4 linked regions of the Saccharomyces cerevisiae S288C genome follow. The protein of the gene in region 4 binds, or shares a complex with, the protein of the main gene of each other region. Each region holds a gene or a part of one and is shown on either strand. Other genes may lie near its edges.

Region 1 (4,754 bases), on a different chromosome or scaffold from region 4:
CAAAGTTTTTCCGGAACCTGTAGCGGCCTTTGCTATAATATCTCTCTTCTGTTGTAAAGCCAAAGGAATAGCATGTGATTGAATTAATGTTGGGTACTGAAATCCTATATTCTTAATAGCTTGTAATAAACGAGAGTCGAGATGAAATGCTTCGAACGTTGTAGAATCGTCAATATAAGCGCCTTCCACAGACTTTTTCTCATAGCTCATTTTTTTGATCTTTCGTTGCAGTTTTGGCTTAGTCTATTTCTTTTGTGAGATAAATTGTAGATTGACTATAACTATCAGCCAAAACAAAAGGCTCTTACTCAATGAAAGAAATTAGAAGAATCGAAATGAAATGAGATGAGATGAGATGAGATGAGATGGTCTAGAAGAGTTATTCTTTATGTTCGTGAAAAAAAATTTTTAAAATTTCATCTCTAGGTTTCATTACGTAAAGAGTGATTAAGGTAAACAATAAAAGGCAGTTCTAACCAGATTTTGGTTTGGTATTACTTCTATAAAGTAGTCTACTTAGTATGCGTAACTGTTTTTAACATAGCGGTGTGACCAAATTACCACCAATATTTAAGAGGCTTTCCACCCTACCTTTCAAAGGATTTGAATTACATTCTAAAATTTTCATATTGTTGAAGTCAATCTTAGCAGTGCTTTTACCTATGGTAACCACTCCAGTTATAGTTTCCTCTTTATTACTTGCATATTCATCTTTATTGAGAAATAAAGTAAAACAGTCACCAAACTGTTCTTTAAACAACCTTGAGATTTGCTTCACCCTCTCAACTTCATCAATCTTACCTTGTGCATTAGACTGCACATTGTTATGATCATGATCATCACAAGAATGACTCGAAAGCTTGACACTGGCGGGAGCTGAATCCACATTCATAAGTATAGCAATAATGGAGTCTGCTACAGTGTCATTCATTAAATCTTGAGTCCATTCCACAACGGCTAGAGTATTAACAATAGTTAACTTAATATCACCCATTATCTGTAGAATCAATTTACCTGTATTGGTCAGATTGTCTTTTGACTCTTCTTTAACCTTTGGTTCTTGATTTGTTACTCTATCATCATCTTGAAGAACTTCAGCCTCTCCAAACATTTGTAAAATGTGCCAGTAAATTAGCTCCTTTTTACAATTTACACGAACTGACTGGCGCTCTCTTAATATCGTTGTAGAAAGATCGGGATGGTGCTCTCTTAAATCAGACAAAGAAAGGAAGTCTAATTCGAAATTTTTGTCATCTGAAACTAGAATCCCAGAAACGACTATGTCTTTGTGTTCCTCTTCATCAACCAAACCTTTTTCTGCTTGAGAATCCAAGTTGTCTTCGTTTTCTTCCTTTATAGGTTCAATTTTAGCCGCAATTTCTTCCTTTATCTCTACGTTTTCTTCTTTATATATTTCGTTCACAATATTTCCCACAGCTTTTGCAACCTTGACACCTTGAAATTCAAGATCTACTTCAACACAGTTTCTAGGATTAAAAACATGGACTTCATTATCTGTACCCTTTAAAGACGCGAAATTGGATAACAATGCAGATTTCAAACGGCCCATGGGATTGGCTTCTCCATGAACAAGGATGATATTTGGCGCACTAATCTTTTCAATAAATTCTAAATTTTCCTGGAAGTCAACGTGTGCGGCAAAGGAGATTTCTTCAACTTGACAACGTCTTGGAATGGTTATTTCCGGATTATTTATGGAAGGTATTGTATCTGGCTCAAGCATAATAAATTTCGCCATTGTTCCTTCGATGGAGTAACCGGTGATTAGTACTAGATTTTTATCTTCAGGGCACCACCTTTCAAGTAAATCTCTTGATAACCCACTTTGCAGCATACCTGGTGAGGCCAACATCACACTGGGACCAAAATCTTGGAAATCCTCCAAGTTTCTAAGATAAGATATATTTTTGAATATGAAGGGATTAGTCTGAGAGTCTCTAAATTTTTTTCTAATGTCATCATTCATCATATTTACATAGGTTTGAAAAACGCTCATACATTTTTTTGCCAAATTTGATGCATAAAATATTGGGACTTGTCCACCACCGAGTTCATCAGCATGTTGAGACCAGTACTCATCCAGTATAAGCATGATTTCTTGAGCTCTCCCTAAAGCAAAAACAGGCAGTAGAACACGGCCTCCTCTCATCACTGTGGAATGGATTAGTTGGGTTAGCTTCCTTTCTCTATTTAAACGGGGCTCGTGAGTAGCGGTACCAAAGGTAGATTCCACAATTAATACGTTGGATGAAAGTGGAGGCACCTCAGCAGAATTTAAGTGACGATCTACTTCTCTCGAATAGTCACCTGTGAATAACACCCTAAGGCCAGCAATCTCTATTTGAAACATCGCTGCACCCAATACATGGCCTGCATGGAATGCCGTAAATTTGATACCATTGACGTCAACAGTAGAATGATAGTCCACCGTTTCAATTTTATCGAAAGAATCAACTAAATCCTCATCTGAGAATAGACCTTCGTCTTTAGTCCCCATAGAGGAGGATGAAGAACCTATACTAGTAACTCTTACAAAATCTCGCAGTAGCCATCTGTAAATGGCTTTGGTTGGATGTGTCATGAAAACTCTGCCTTGAAAGTTAGTCCGTTGCATCACATACGGAAGTGAAGCGGCATGGTCTAAATGGAAATGTGATATCAGTAAGATATCGACTTTGGAAAGATCAAATTCATCGTAAAAAGGTAATGAAGCTAATCCTTGATATGCCGGATGAATTCCTGCGTCGAGCATCACTGTTTTACCTTTATATTGCAATATATGACATGATCGTCCAACTTCGTTACTTCCTCCCAATGAAAAAAATTTGAATGTTGTTGTATTTGTTCGCTCCATATATGCGTATACTTATTAATGTTAACTTATTATGTTACTTTTTATTTCCTCAATGGACAAAATTCAATTGATAATACAATGTTTCTTTTGTGCTGTAACTTTTGAAGTACTGAAAACAAGGGTAAAAGAAATAAACGCTTATACCCGTGAACATTTTGAACCTATTAGATGTGATCTCAATATGTATTGCGCTGAAGCAGTAGAAGTTGTTAAAGATCCGCTAGTTTTTCATAATTTTCGGCCAGAATAACTGCTTACCCGTATTTATTTGCAAACACGCTACTTAGTCTTTTGGAGAGGACTTTATACAGGAAAGAAAGAGTTTTATTGATTTTAAAAACAATATAAATGAAAGAAAAAAATGTGTTTTAGATTAGGCTTATAAGATATGACCCATATCATAATTAAAAAAAGCGATTTAGTTGTTCTTTTAAAAAAAAAGAGAAAAAAAAAAAAAAAAAAAAAAGGAATGAGTTTGTACATACTATTATATTAATGTAGTATCACGTTAAAAAGCCGTAGTCATCATTAATCGTCCAAAAGTCTTCTACCGGACCAGATGTCATCATGTTATCCCAGTTAGAACGCTTTTTCCTGATGTCTGCGTTAGTTACTGTAGGAATAACATTGTCGAAATGCAGATTTGCGCTAGTGTTTGCTTCCACCTGTGTTTTAGGTCCATTCTTCTCTGTTTCGTCAAGATTATATTGTACACCTTCCTGATTGGACATCATGAACAAATTTCTGTTATACGAAGGGTCATTCTGCGTCTGTTGAAAATTATTAGCGGTTACATTGTTTTCAGAACACATATTTTGTTGTTGATGTTGTTGCTGCTGTTTGTCCATGGACAGAGATGAAGGCTCTTGACTCTGGGGAAATATTGTTTGTAGTATGGACTTGCTATTCAAAGCATCTAGAACGGAGTTATTGGTCCAGGTGGAAATATTGTTGATCATGTCATGAGCACCGTTGCTGAAAAGTATATCGCCCGAAGAAGAGCCATTTCGAGCTTGTTTGACACTGACCGGAATTGAATTGCTAGTAAATGACGCTGGTATCGAGGAGATAATATTATTGCCATAATCTGCTCTTAGGGGTGATGTACTGAAATTTGATTCTTCGACATCTCTTAATTGCTTATTTTCACTTGTATGGTTAGAGAATATTGCAGATTGTAGAGGATTACTGTTGATCATACCATTGTTTAATTGATTCGTAAAATTGCTTTCTGAGAATCTTTGTGGAGAAGTAATATGTTGTTGTGGCTGCTCCCGCTGTTGTTGCGGCAGTGGTCGTGATACATGCTGTTGCGGTAGCATATTGGAAGTTTGAGGATATGGAGTTGGGCTTTGCGTCATCGCTATTGGAATCGGATCCGAATGCGAAGAGGCTGTAGATATGCTAGAAGATTTTGAAGGACTTCTATTGGTCATAGTATCGGTGTTCAGGGACGATAGATACGCTTGTAAATTGTGCTGAGCTAGTTGCTGTTGTAGAAAGGCCTGCTGTTGAAATACTTGCCAATCAAACTCTGTTTGGTTGGTTGGTTTCTTGACGATATATTGGTCTTGAATAGGCCTTTCTACATCATTTTCCATAGTTACGTTGTTGTTACGAACATACTGGCTGTTGTTGCCATTATTGCAGCTGTTGTTGGTAGTGCTTCTGCTATTACTTTCATTATCATTATTATTAACATTATTATTATTATTACTATTATTATTATTATTGTTATTATTATTATTATTATCATTATTATTGTTGTGATTATTGTTGTGTTCTCTGTTGACGCTGCTGATGGTCATACCATTGTTATCATTGTTTACATTGATTTTCAGGTTTTTTTCTTGGGAAGAAGGAAACGATAATGTCGACG
Region 2 (2,925 bases), on a different chromosome or scaffold from region 4:
CTCGGAAATTACATGGTGCGTGCTCGGGCTTTTTGTGATAAGAGTACTCCAGCACCGATTATTGGTGTTTACGGAGGCGCTTCGTAGCATTGCAGATACACACAAAACTAAGAGTAATAAAAATAGCTACGTAAAACAAGATTGGTTAAACTTTATTGTGCCGCTTGTGTACATTCGTATTCCGAAAAAGTAAGGTGAAATCACCGTCACCGATGCTCATGCAGCTACTCCTCACCTTTTAAGGTTGAAATCCGCTTGTCCTTGAGTAATATTCCTACGTATTATGGAAATAATGTACGAATCTGTGTCTATGTATGCCTCATAATTACAACAGTGTTGTTGCTTCTTCCTTATTTAGCCATAGATACGCTGGTTTGCGTTCTCCGCCCCCGCACCTACCATTTCCTTGGCGAAGTAGTTATATGGGGAAAACTCAACAACTTGTTACATAATCCACCAATAATTCAGATGAAAGCACATACAAGAAAATAAAAAGGTAAGTAATGACGTTCAGCACAATGGAGTTGTTAATTTCTGGCCAATGCTTAGTATGCTCTCCACTCTTCCCTTTAGTGGGTTCGAATTACAATCAATCAGCTTCATGGTGGAGAAATCGATCGTGGCTTTACTCTTGCCTATGGTGACGCTACCATTCTTTACATTTTCTTTTTTTCCTATTCCTTCATCGATGCTAAAACTGTCTCCAAATTGTTCTCGAAACAGATTTTGCAATTCTTGGATCTTCCAAACGTTATGGTTTCTCTCTTTCAATTCTGATTCAGATAGCACGTTCTTGTCGCTTGCACACAAACCGATGATCATTATTACTATACTATCGGCAATTGTTTGGCTTATCATTGACTTCTGTGTCCACTCAATTGAAACGCTGCTCGCAGATATTTCTACTTCGACGTCACCCAGCATTAACAGTTTCGTGGCATTTTCCGTTGCAGTTGTTTCTATGCAACCGAACGTTTGGACAATATGAAGGTACAAATCATTAGTTCGATCTGTCCCACTGTTATTTAGATTAATTCTTTGATGAGTTCTGTCACTTTTGTCCTTGGGTAAATCCATTTTACGTTATAATGCAAATTACGTGAGCCGCTCTTGTTCAGTCATAGTGCAGACATGCAATTTTATCTCCGTTTCCTCTTATTTTTTTCTTGTTTTTCTTGCTTTCTTCCTTTCCCGAAGAAGAACATCCGAAGTTAAAAAAAAAAATCTCAAATTTGAGACTATTTTATTCTATCGTTGAATGAGTGAATTTTGTAAAGAAGTAAGTGAATTGATTAGATAAAGCATGTTTATCACATAAAGTCTTTTTTCATAGTAGCAACGATGCTTGATACCATTATGATTTATATCTTTTATCCCCATCGTCGGTTATCTAAAAATTAAAATCAAAAAAAATACATAATCATTGTATACTACGATATCGCCTTTTCGGCTAGATTTCATATGCATCCCTCTCGGAAAACAACAACAGCACATATGCATAAAACCACTACTTTTAAAGACTCGACTTTGAGTGGCCTGGGTTACACAACTTGCGATATTTCGATGTTTTCTTCCCTAAGCGTCGCAGTTGAACAAAACATCGGCTAAATTCTTTTCTCTTAGCAGAAACTTCATAGAGTTCATTAATAGTGATGGCTCCTTTTAGGCTAGGGACCTTTTTCTGAAGTTCTTTCTGTCACTATCCTCCGCAACCGCCTTTAAACTATTGAATGATTACTTTGCTAGGCCAATTTTTTTCGATCATTAAAATAAATTCTGAATATACCATGAAAATAAAGTTGCGCTTGTGACCTTTTTCGAGAAACACCATTTCACTTGATTTTGCATAGTTATTAGCGAAAATAGCACGATTTTTTTTTTTTCGATGCATTTTCCCTTTGCTCTCCTTACCTGCAAGGTTAGCGCAAGCAAAATGTCAAAGATGCGTCTAATATAAACATGTATATATAGTCCAAGTGCATTCAAGGAATACTATCGTAACAACTTTTTTATCCTCCTTCGATTATGCAGTATCAATTGTCGAAGAAAAAGCTTAGGTCACAATATGGTCGAAGGACGGCATATCATGATTCTAAGAATGCCTTTCTTTCTAAAAAGATGACGTTTGGTTCTATTTCAGTTATTCCCAGTTTGCTACCCATTTTTCTTTTCATTCCTCGAATACTTCCAACAAACATATAAAAATTTTCGTAATCGTTGACCTATTTTGGGGAGTTCCTTTTTTCTTCTTTAGAACTCCCTTTGGTTATATTTATTACTACGCAGATTTCGAGTAGTTGTCACATCAAACAGAATAAAAGGGGTATTGTAAATTTACTGACTTTTCCATCAATCCCGTATGAATGGATGGCTTACATATCTTGGAACGCAGACTTCGAAATTAAGTATTTAGGAGTGAGAATGTGCGTTAGCATTTTGTCTCATATCTAAATATTCAAGTTTAACTTGTATTATTTGTCCTCAGTACAAGAGGTGTACGGCTTTTGAAAGTCCACTCCCCCATTTTTATCCGGATCTCTGCCGCTGGATTCTATTTTGTCACAAAGTTTGTGCCTTGGAGAGCGCCGTTTGCCAGCCCGTCATCAGTAGGACCCTTTTGTGCGGCTGCCAAATTTTCTAGAGATACCGCCGCGGCCGCCTCTTGTCTGGAAGAATTTGCATTGCCAAGGAAATTGATTCAGTTCATTAAGTACAGTTGTGAAGCACTTTAGTTACTTAACATGAATGACAGTTTTATTAGGTGTAAAAAAAAATCCTTTTTTTCAGAGAGCTATTTGTAAATATTATATGAATATTAAAAAACATCCTTTTTGAGTAAGAATTCCTATGAAACAAAATGGAACAATTTCACTTATATTGTAAGCGGATTTTACAACAGATATAAAATATTGTGCGCCAACATTA
Region 3 (3,724 bases), on a different chromosome or scaffold from region 4:
CTGGATTGTTAGGTTGAACTAACGTATAAAATTAGGGGATAAAATGAAGAAAAGAAGATAAACTAATCAAAGAGGCAAAAAAAAAGGTCCTTTGAATCAAACTCTACTATATTAGTTATATTTTGAAGATTTGGTGTGAACTCTTCACATGAGAAGGGAATAAAAGGGAACACAGTGGAAAGAATCTGTATTTTCATATGCCTACTTATAAATTCACATGTGTCGGAGATCCACGTTATCTAACATTTGAGGTTTTGCCGTTTCTGGCATCGCCGTTCATTTTCACAGTTTTGTGTGGAAAACTTCGCGAATAATGAATGCGGCATGAGAAAAGTGTGGCAATTGACTGTCTTGACCAATTTAAACCAAGGCAAAAATATATATTTAACAAGGCAAACATTTAATGTTGGAAGTTTAGTGCCGCTTTTAGTGATAAGAGGTACAGATGCAAGAACCATCTAATTAGGTGTGGTTTTCTGATACGCTATGGCTCTGATTACTTAGATTATATATTCTTTTCTAAAGTTTTCCACCATAAGTTGCTGGTCACTTGGTAAACTTTGGATCTGGGCAGGTGTCAAAGTAAGAACTTGTTTGATCATATCTTGTTGGTTTTCAGGTAGTAATTGCAGTTTCGCCATATTAATGGTGCCGCTGTCATTCGCTTTATTCGCGTTAGAGGGTCCTTCTGTAGAACTTATATTTTGTTGCTGGACCTGGCCGAGTTGATTTGCCAACACAGGCTGTCCCATGGAGGGGCCTTGAGCTGGAGGCATGAAAGGGCCCGGTGGCGCAAAACCGAACGGTTGTTGTTGCAGAGGTAAAGGGATAAATGGTGGTGTCGACATAGGCATTGGCATAGCTACGTTCAGTGGCATATTGTTAGGATTGTTGCTGACTTCATTAGAAGGTACATGCAACGGAGTGTTATTTCTAATTACGCTTACGGGGGTGTTCGAATTACTTGTGTTATTACTCGAAAGCAAAGATGGGGCCTCGCCAACTTGGGATTTCAACACTTTAGTCACCACGCTGTAGTCTATAAATCCCATTTCTAGTAGGGCTTGGGTCACTGATATTGTGATATCACTGTTAGTATCTAAGAAAGATTCTAATTGCGATTTTTGGATGTTTTCTTGGTTTGATAATATTTTCAAATTTGATATAATTTCAATAAGTTGCAACGGCGGAATTTTACTTAAATTTTGTGAAATTTTGTCTGGTGCAATAATCGAGCCATCTTGGAAACTTGGCAAGTGTTTAGATGCTTTACTTAGTATGTCGGGGAATTGAATGTTTGTGTTATTTGATACAGAGTTTGTGTTATTTGCAGCCTGTGGTGGCGGTGGTCGCCTAGGAATGGGGACTTCTGTCACCATTTCGAAAGGTAGCTCCAAACCCGCCTCGAAGGGGTACGAATCTCTATTAAGTTGTAATACCTGCTTTTGAGAATTTTTATTTGCTGTTTCTCTAAGATGGTCCTTATAATTTGGTGGGATTATTTGCTCTATCTTTACGGGAAAGTTTTCAATTCTATTTAAAATTTCCCAAGCGCGTTTACAATCTTTACTAGTCAAATAATCGAACAGTACACCGGTTAGTTTACCAGTTCTCGGGTCATTCTTAGCTTTTATATCTATAACTGGACCAGAACCGGCCACGACCGAAGTAATTATATCTTGGTTCCATTCTGGAGGTAAGTTTGTGATTTGTAATGTAGAGGATAAATTCTCCGGTGTCAAGAAATGACGGCCTGTTCTTCTTCTGGGATCTGTCATCAATTTTTTTCCTTCGTTCTTCGTTCTTCGTCTTCTCCAGTTGTGAGTTTTCTAAATATACCTATATATAAAATAATAAAATCTAATCAATGCAACGTGTTTGACAGTGACGTTTACAGATAGGACGACCGGATGAGCGACTGAAAAAGGTGCTATTATGAATGCACGGTTTCGCAAGACCTCAAACAATCGTACTAGTATTTCTGAAATTCTGCTTTACTGCCCGACCTTTCCAACATGTCGCTGTTTTTTTGTTTTTCTTCAGAGTCGGGTAAGAGCAATAAAGTGAAAAGTTAACAGATTCAAACACTGATGTGATGCATGCATGATAAGGAATTTGTAAAAATAATAGAACAATGCTGCTTCGTATAGGCGCTATTTAATTAAGTAGTTATATAAAGAGAACGGTGCAATTGAATAGGAAAGGAATGACGGATTTTGCTTCTATGTTTGCTTTTATTTGAAGCGTGGGTTCTTATTTATGCTAAGTAGCTCAGTAAATCCATCTTAGTAACGATATGGATTGGTTTCAAGCCATCAGTGATAACGGCAGATGAGTTTTTTTCAAAGAAACGATTCAAGTCAGATAGCTTTGAGTTTTCATCGAATTTAATAAACTTCTTCTTACCGGATTTATTTTCGTTGTAAGAGGAAACATCATTGAAATTGTTTAATTTCTTGAAGTCCAAGTATTTACCCTTTATAGTGTTGTCGTTGTTTGAATTATTGATTGATAGTTTTCTTAGAAGCTCAGAGAGAGTAACTAAACCAGACAACTTGCCGTCTTCAGTCAACACAGGCAATTGGTCAAAGCCATTGTCTTTTAATATCTTGATAACATCAGTGACCTTAGCGGTTTCCTTAACGGAAACAACCGGTTTCAAGTGAAGATCCTTTACAGTAGCGTTACCAAACACATCAGCGTATTTTGTCGTCGAAGCCTCCAGCTTTGAAGAGTCAAAACGGGCCAACACGTCATCATCCCACAAATTGTTCTTTTTCAACCATTCGTCATCGACGAATTTGGTTAGGTACGACCTGATGGAATCTGGGAATATGGCAACAATGACATCATCTTCAGTCAGTTCAGGGTGGTCTTCACAGTATTTCACAACCGCAGTGAAGGCAGAACCGGAAGAACCACCCACCAAGACACCTTCGTTAGAAATCAATTGTCTGGCGTATTTGAAAGAAGGCTTGTCGTCTGTCTTATACCAAACATCAATTAATTTTCTGTCCAAAACCTGAGGAACAAAATCATAACCAATACCCTCAACTTTGTAGTCAGTGATATCAGTCTTATTCAAGTTTTCAGGTTGGGCTAAAATTGAACCGAATGGGTCAGCACCAACGATTTGGATCTTATCATTCTGTTCTTTCAAGTACTTGGAAATACCGCTAATAGTCCCACCAGTACCAGCACCAGCAACAACAGCGCGTAGATTATCAAATAAATTCAAGTCTTCTAGCTGTCTTTGGATTTCGCGACCAGTACCAAAGTAATGAGCTTCTGGGTTCATCATATTGTTATATTGGTCAAGTATAACAGCACCAGGAATCTCTTTTTCCAACTTCTTAGCAACACCAATATGTGATTCTGGAGAATCCCAGGCAGCAGCAGTTGGAGTTCTGATGATTTCAGCACCCAGAGCCTTTAGGACAGAAACTTTCTCGTTAGACATTTTTTCCGGCAAGGTGATGATAGTTCTGTAACCTTTGATGGCGCCGATTAAAGCTAGACCGATACCGGTGTTACCAGAAGTAGGTTCGATCAGAGTAGATCTGGAAGGATGAATTCTACCGGAAGCTTCAGCTTCTTCCACCATAGACTTGGCAATTCTGTCTTTGATGGAACCACCTGGATTGTATAGTTCCAGCTTAGCATAAATTTGTGGTTTGATACCCAAAGCCTTAGGCAATTTTTTCAGTGCGATCAATGGGGTGTT
Region 4 (3,777 bases):
ATAAGTTCGTTTTGATATTTTTTCAATGTGGCTTCGATTTTCGCTTTGATTTCTGGCAGAGTTTGCCTAATGTGGTGTAATAAGATTGAGTTTAACTTTTTAGCCAAATATGGTGTACCACAGTAATGAGCTTTAGAACTGTAAGAGGGATGGTTCTCAAAAAATTTTCTTTCGTTTTCAAGGGCTTCTCTGATTGTTTTTTTGTGTTCAATATCCTTTTGACCTCTATTGATAACTGGGATATAACCATATCTCAAAGGAATGACTCTTCCAGCCAAAATATCTATGACATCTGTACCTTGATCCATCAAATCGACTTTTGTCAAGACACCAATAGTTCTCGTTCCTTCTGGATCGACCTCTCTAGCCAGCTTCAAACCATCGCTGTTGGCTAAATCGGTGTTAGCGGCATTAACAGATAATATGATAGCGTTTGGTTTCGAAATATACTTTAACAACATGTCCTTAATTTGTCTTTCAATATCAGGAGGTTGGTCACCTACGGGAACCTTCGTCAACCCAGGCAAATCCACTAACGTCAAAGTAAGAACATGCGGAGAATAAATTCTCAAGTTAATGGGCACAGAAGAAATACCTGAATTGGCACCTGTCACTTTGTCAGTTTCTTTGACGATTTCCTTTCTAATTTCGTCAAAATTATAAAACTTCTTACCAGGTAAATGCAAAAATTCACCCCATTCCTCTTTATTGTCTTCAGATTGTCCCTCGTTCTGGTGCTTTCCTGATTCATCCTTTTTCTTGTCATCATCGTTGATGTTCAAGTCAATCAATTCATTAGCAGTTTGGTTTACTTTAGCATGTTCTGACTTTTTTGGTCTCCTATTAATCAATTGTAACACTAAAGGTCTCCTGGTGACAATACCAGTACCTCTTGGCAAGAAATCCCTACCAACAATGTTCTCCAAAACGGACGACTTTCCTGACGACTGGGAACCGACAACAGTGATCTGTGGTAAATCAATAGGAGATTGAGATCCTCCTCCTAAGGGCGCCAAAGCGTCCTGAAGCTTGTTAATAGTAGAAATTAAATGCTCATCCATGATATCTGATAATATAAAATGTGCAGTTTTCGTACGGTCCTTATTTTGGTGCTATAAAAGGCCTCTCTAATTCTTTTTTAGGAGTAAATAGATGAATTATCTCGGTCTGTCTTGGAAGATATGTTGTTCTCTTGATGGCAAAGCGACGCGAATCAACGGCGCCCAAGTCTTTGGGTGACCCGGCCACTTAATAATGTTTGGGGAAGAAATCAATCCATTAGAACATTGGTTTTGGAAACTAGGCCAGTCCAAGCGCACAAGTGGTTTACCCTCGAGCATTTTTCGACTATTAGAGGATTCAAGTATCTATCGAATTCTCTGAAGCTATCATACTATCCTCTGGACGATATTAGAACGATTTTTCAAGTGAAACGTTTTAGCAAAAGTTTAAAGACACTAAACTAGCTAAATAATTTCACTGTGAGCAAGTCTTTAAACGGTCTTTTTTGAATCAAAAGAGGCCTAGAATTAGCAAAATATTTAACGCATAAACTTTTTTTAGACAAATAATGAGCTCTCAAAAGGTTTTTGGTATTACTGGACCTGTTTCCACCGTGGGCGCCACAGCAGCAGAAAATAAATTAAATGATAGTTTAATCCAAGAACTGAAAAAGGAAGGATCGTTCGAAACAGAGCAAGAAACTGCCAATAGGGTACAAGTGTTGAAAATATTGCAGGAATTGGCACAAAGATTTGTTTATGAAGTATCGAAGAAGAAAAATATGTCAGACGGGATGGCAAGGGATGCTGGTGGGAAGATTTTTACGTATGGGTCCTATAGACTAGGAGTCCATGGGCCTGGTAGTGATATCGATACTTTGGTAGTTGTTCCAAAACATGTAACTCGGGAAGATTTTTTTACGGTATTTGATTCACTACTGAGAGAGAGGAAGGAACTGGATGAAATTGCACCTGTACCTGATGCGTTTGTCCCGATTATCAAGATAAAGTTCAGTGGTATTTCTATCGATTTAATCTGTGCACGTCTAGACCAACCTCAAGTGCCTTTATCCTTGACTTTATCAGATAAAAATCTACTGCGAAATCTAGACGAGAAGGACTTGAGAGCTTTGAATGGTACCAGAGTAACAGATGAGATATTAGAACTGGTACCAAAGCCGAATGTTTTCAGAATCGCTTTAAGAGCTATTAAGCTATGGGCCCAAAGAAGGGCTGTTTATGCTAATATTTTTGGTTTTCCTGGTGGTGTGGCTTGGGCCATGCTAGTGGCTAGAATTTGTCAACTATACCCTAACGCCTGTAGCGCAGTTATATTGAACAGATTTTTCATCATTTTGTCGGAATGGAATTGGCCACAACCTGTTATCTTGAAACCAATTGAGGATGGCCCGTTACAAGTTCGTGTATGGAATCCAAAGATATATGCCCAAGACAGGTCTCATAGAATGCCCGTCATTACACCAGCTTATCCATCAATGTGTGCTACCCATAACATCACGGAATCTACTAAAAAAGTCATTTTACAGGAATTCGTAAGAGGCGTTCAAATTACGAATGATATTTTTTCCAATAAGAAGTCCTGGGCCAATTTATTCGAAAAAAACGATTTTTTCTTTCGATACAAGTTCTATTTAGAAATTACTGCATATACAAGGGGCAGTGACGAGCAGCATTTAAAATGGAGTGGTCTTGTTGAAAGTAAGGTAAGGCTTCTAGTTATGAAACTGGAGGTGTTAGCTGGAATAAAAATTGCACATCCTTTCACCAAACCCTTTGAAAGTAGTTATTGTTGTCCAACCGAGGATGACTATGAAATGATTCAAGACAAATACGGTAGTCATAAAACTGAGACAGCACTGAACGCCCTTAAACTGGTAACAGATGAAAATAAAGAGGAAGAAAGTATTAAAGATGCACCAAAGGCATATTTAAGCACCATGTACATAGGCCTTGACTTTAATATTGAAAACAAAAAGGAAAAAGTTGACATTCACATTCCCTGCACTGAATTTGTGAATTTATGTCGAAGTTTCAATGAGGATTATGGTGACCACAAAGTATTCAATCTAGCCCTCCGCTTCGTAAAGGGTTACGATTTGCCAGATGAAGTTTTCGATGAAAATGAAAAGAGACCATCAAAGAAGAGTAAAAGGAAGAATTTAGATGCTAGACATGAAACCGTGAAGAGATCTAAATCAGATGCTGCTTCAGGTGACAACATCAATGGCACAACCGCAGCTGTTGACGTAAACTAAGACATTCCTATTTATAGTTGAATAGTTTATTAATATAGGTTAATCAGTCATAAACAAATTTGTACCCTTTTTTTTGAATCAAAGTACTTTTTTTACGAAGCAGTAAAACGTTTACGAGATTCTCTCTACATATGCTCTTTCGCGTGTAGCGACATTTTACCATTAGGTGAGAATTTTGTGTTACAAGCTGGATGTCAGGATGATACCTTTGAAGGCATAGTTAAATTGGCTGGGAAAGGAACGGAACCTTTTCCTTTCCGAGTTTCGGCCAGATATTTAGGCTTTTTTTTTTCTGACGGAATAGGGGACCCAGGATTGACAAATATAACAAAACAAGCTTCAACGAGACGTTTATCTCGAGAATTACGTCTGACAGTTACATGAAGTGTGAGTTCATGCAATCTGTACCTTTATTGACACAGATATACTAAAAGAAGTTACAATGGGCTCCAAAAAACTGACCGTAGGATCTGATTCGCACCGGTTGAGCAAATCCAGTT

The links.
Region 1: PAP1 (region 4) and YSH1 share a complex: the UniProt entries of both Saccharomyces cerevisiae proteins name them as parts of the cleavage and polyadenylation factor (CPF) complex.
Region 2: PAP1 (region 4) and SYC1 share a complex: the UniProt entries of both Saccharomyces cerevisiae proteins name them as parts of the cleavage and polyadenylation factor (CPF) complex.
Region 3: PAP1 (region 4) and PTI1 share a complex: the UniProt entries of both Saccharomyces cerevisiae proteins name them as parts of the cleavage and polyadenylation factor (CPF) complex.

The regions. Positions count from the first base shown.
Region 1 is NC_001144.5:696,621-701,374, forward strand, and holds YSH1 (cleavage polyadenylation factor subunit YSH1), read right to left. Parts: upstream 2,876-4,754; coding exon 536-2,875; downstream 1-535. Other genes in the region: DBP9 (ATP-dependent DNA/RNA helicase), read right to left, coding at 1-210; YLR278C (uncharacterized protein), read right to left, coding at 3,379-4,754. UniProt on the Saccharomyces cerevisiae protein: Component of the cleavage and polyadenylation factor (CPF) complex, which plays a key role in polyadenylation-dependent pre-mRNA 3'-end formation and cooperates with cleavage factors including the CFIA complex and NAB4/CFIB. Has endonuclease activity.
Region 2 is NC_001147.6:671,335-674,259, forward strand, and holds SYC1 (cleavage polyadenylation factor subunit SYC1), read right to left. Parts: upstream 1,078-2,925; coding exon 511-1,077; downstream 1-510. UniProt on the Saccharomyces cerevisiae protein: Component of the cleavage and polyadenylation factor (CPF) complex, which plays a key role in polyadenylation-dependent pre-mRNA 3'-end formation and cooperates with cleavage factors including the CFIA complex and NAB4/CFIB.
Region 3 is NC_001139.9:798,600-802,323, reverse strand, and holds PTI1 (cleavage polyadenylation factor subunit PTI1), read right to left. Parts: upstream 1,779-3,724; coding exon 501-1,778; downstream 1-500. Other genes in the region: cystathionine beta-synthase CYS4, read right to left, coding at 2,258-3,724. UniProt on the Saccharomyces cerevisiae protein: Component of the cleavage and polyadenylation factor (CPF) complex, which plays a key role in polyadenylation-dependent pre-mRNA 3'-end formation and cooperates with cleavage factors including the CFIA complex and NAB4/CFIB.
Region 4 is NC_001143.9:441,662-445,438, forward strand, and holds PAP1 (polynucleotide adenylyltransferase PAP1), read left to right. Parts: upstream 1-1,570; coding exon 1,571-3,277; downstream 3,278-3,777. Other genes in the region: dynamin-like GTPase VPS1, read right to left, coding at 1-1,061; oxysterol-binding protein OSH6, read left to right, coding at 3,720-3,777. UniProt on the Saccharomyces cerevisiae protein: Polymerase component of the cleavage and polyadenylation factor (CPF) complex, which plays a key role in polyadenylation-dependent pre-mRNA 3'-end formation and cooperates with cleavage factors including the CFIA complex and NAB4/CFIB.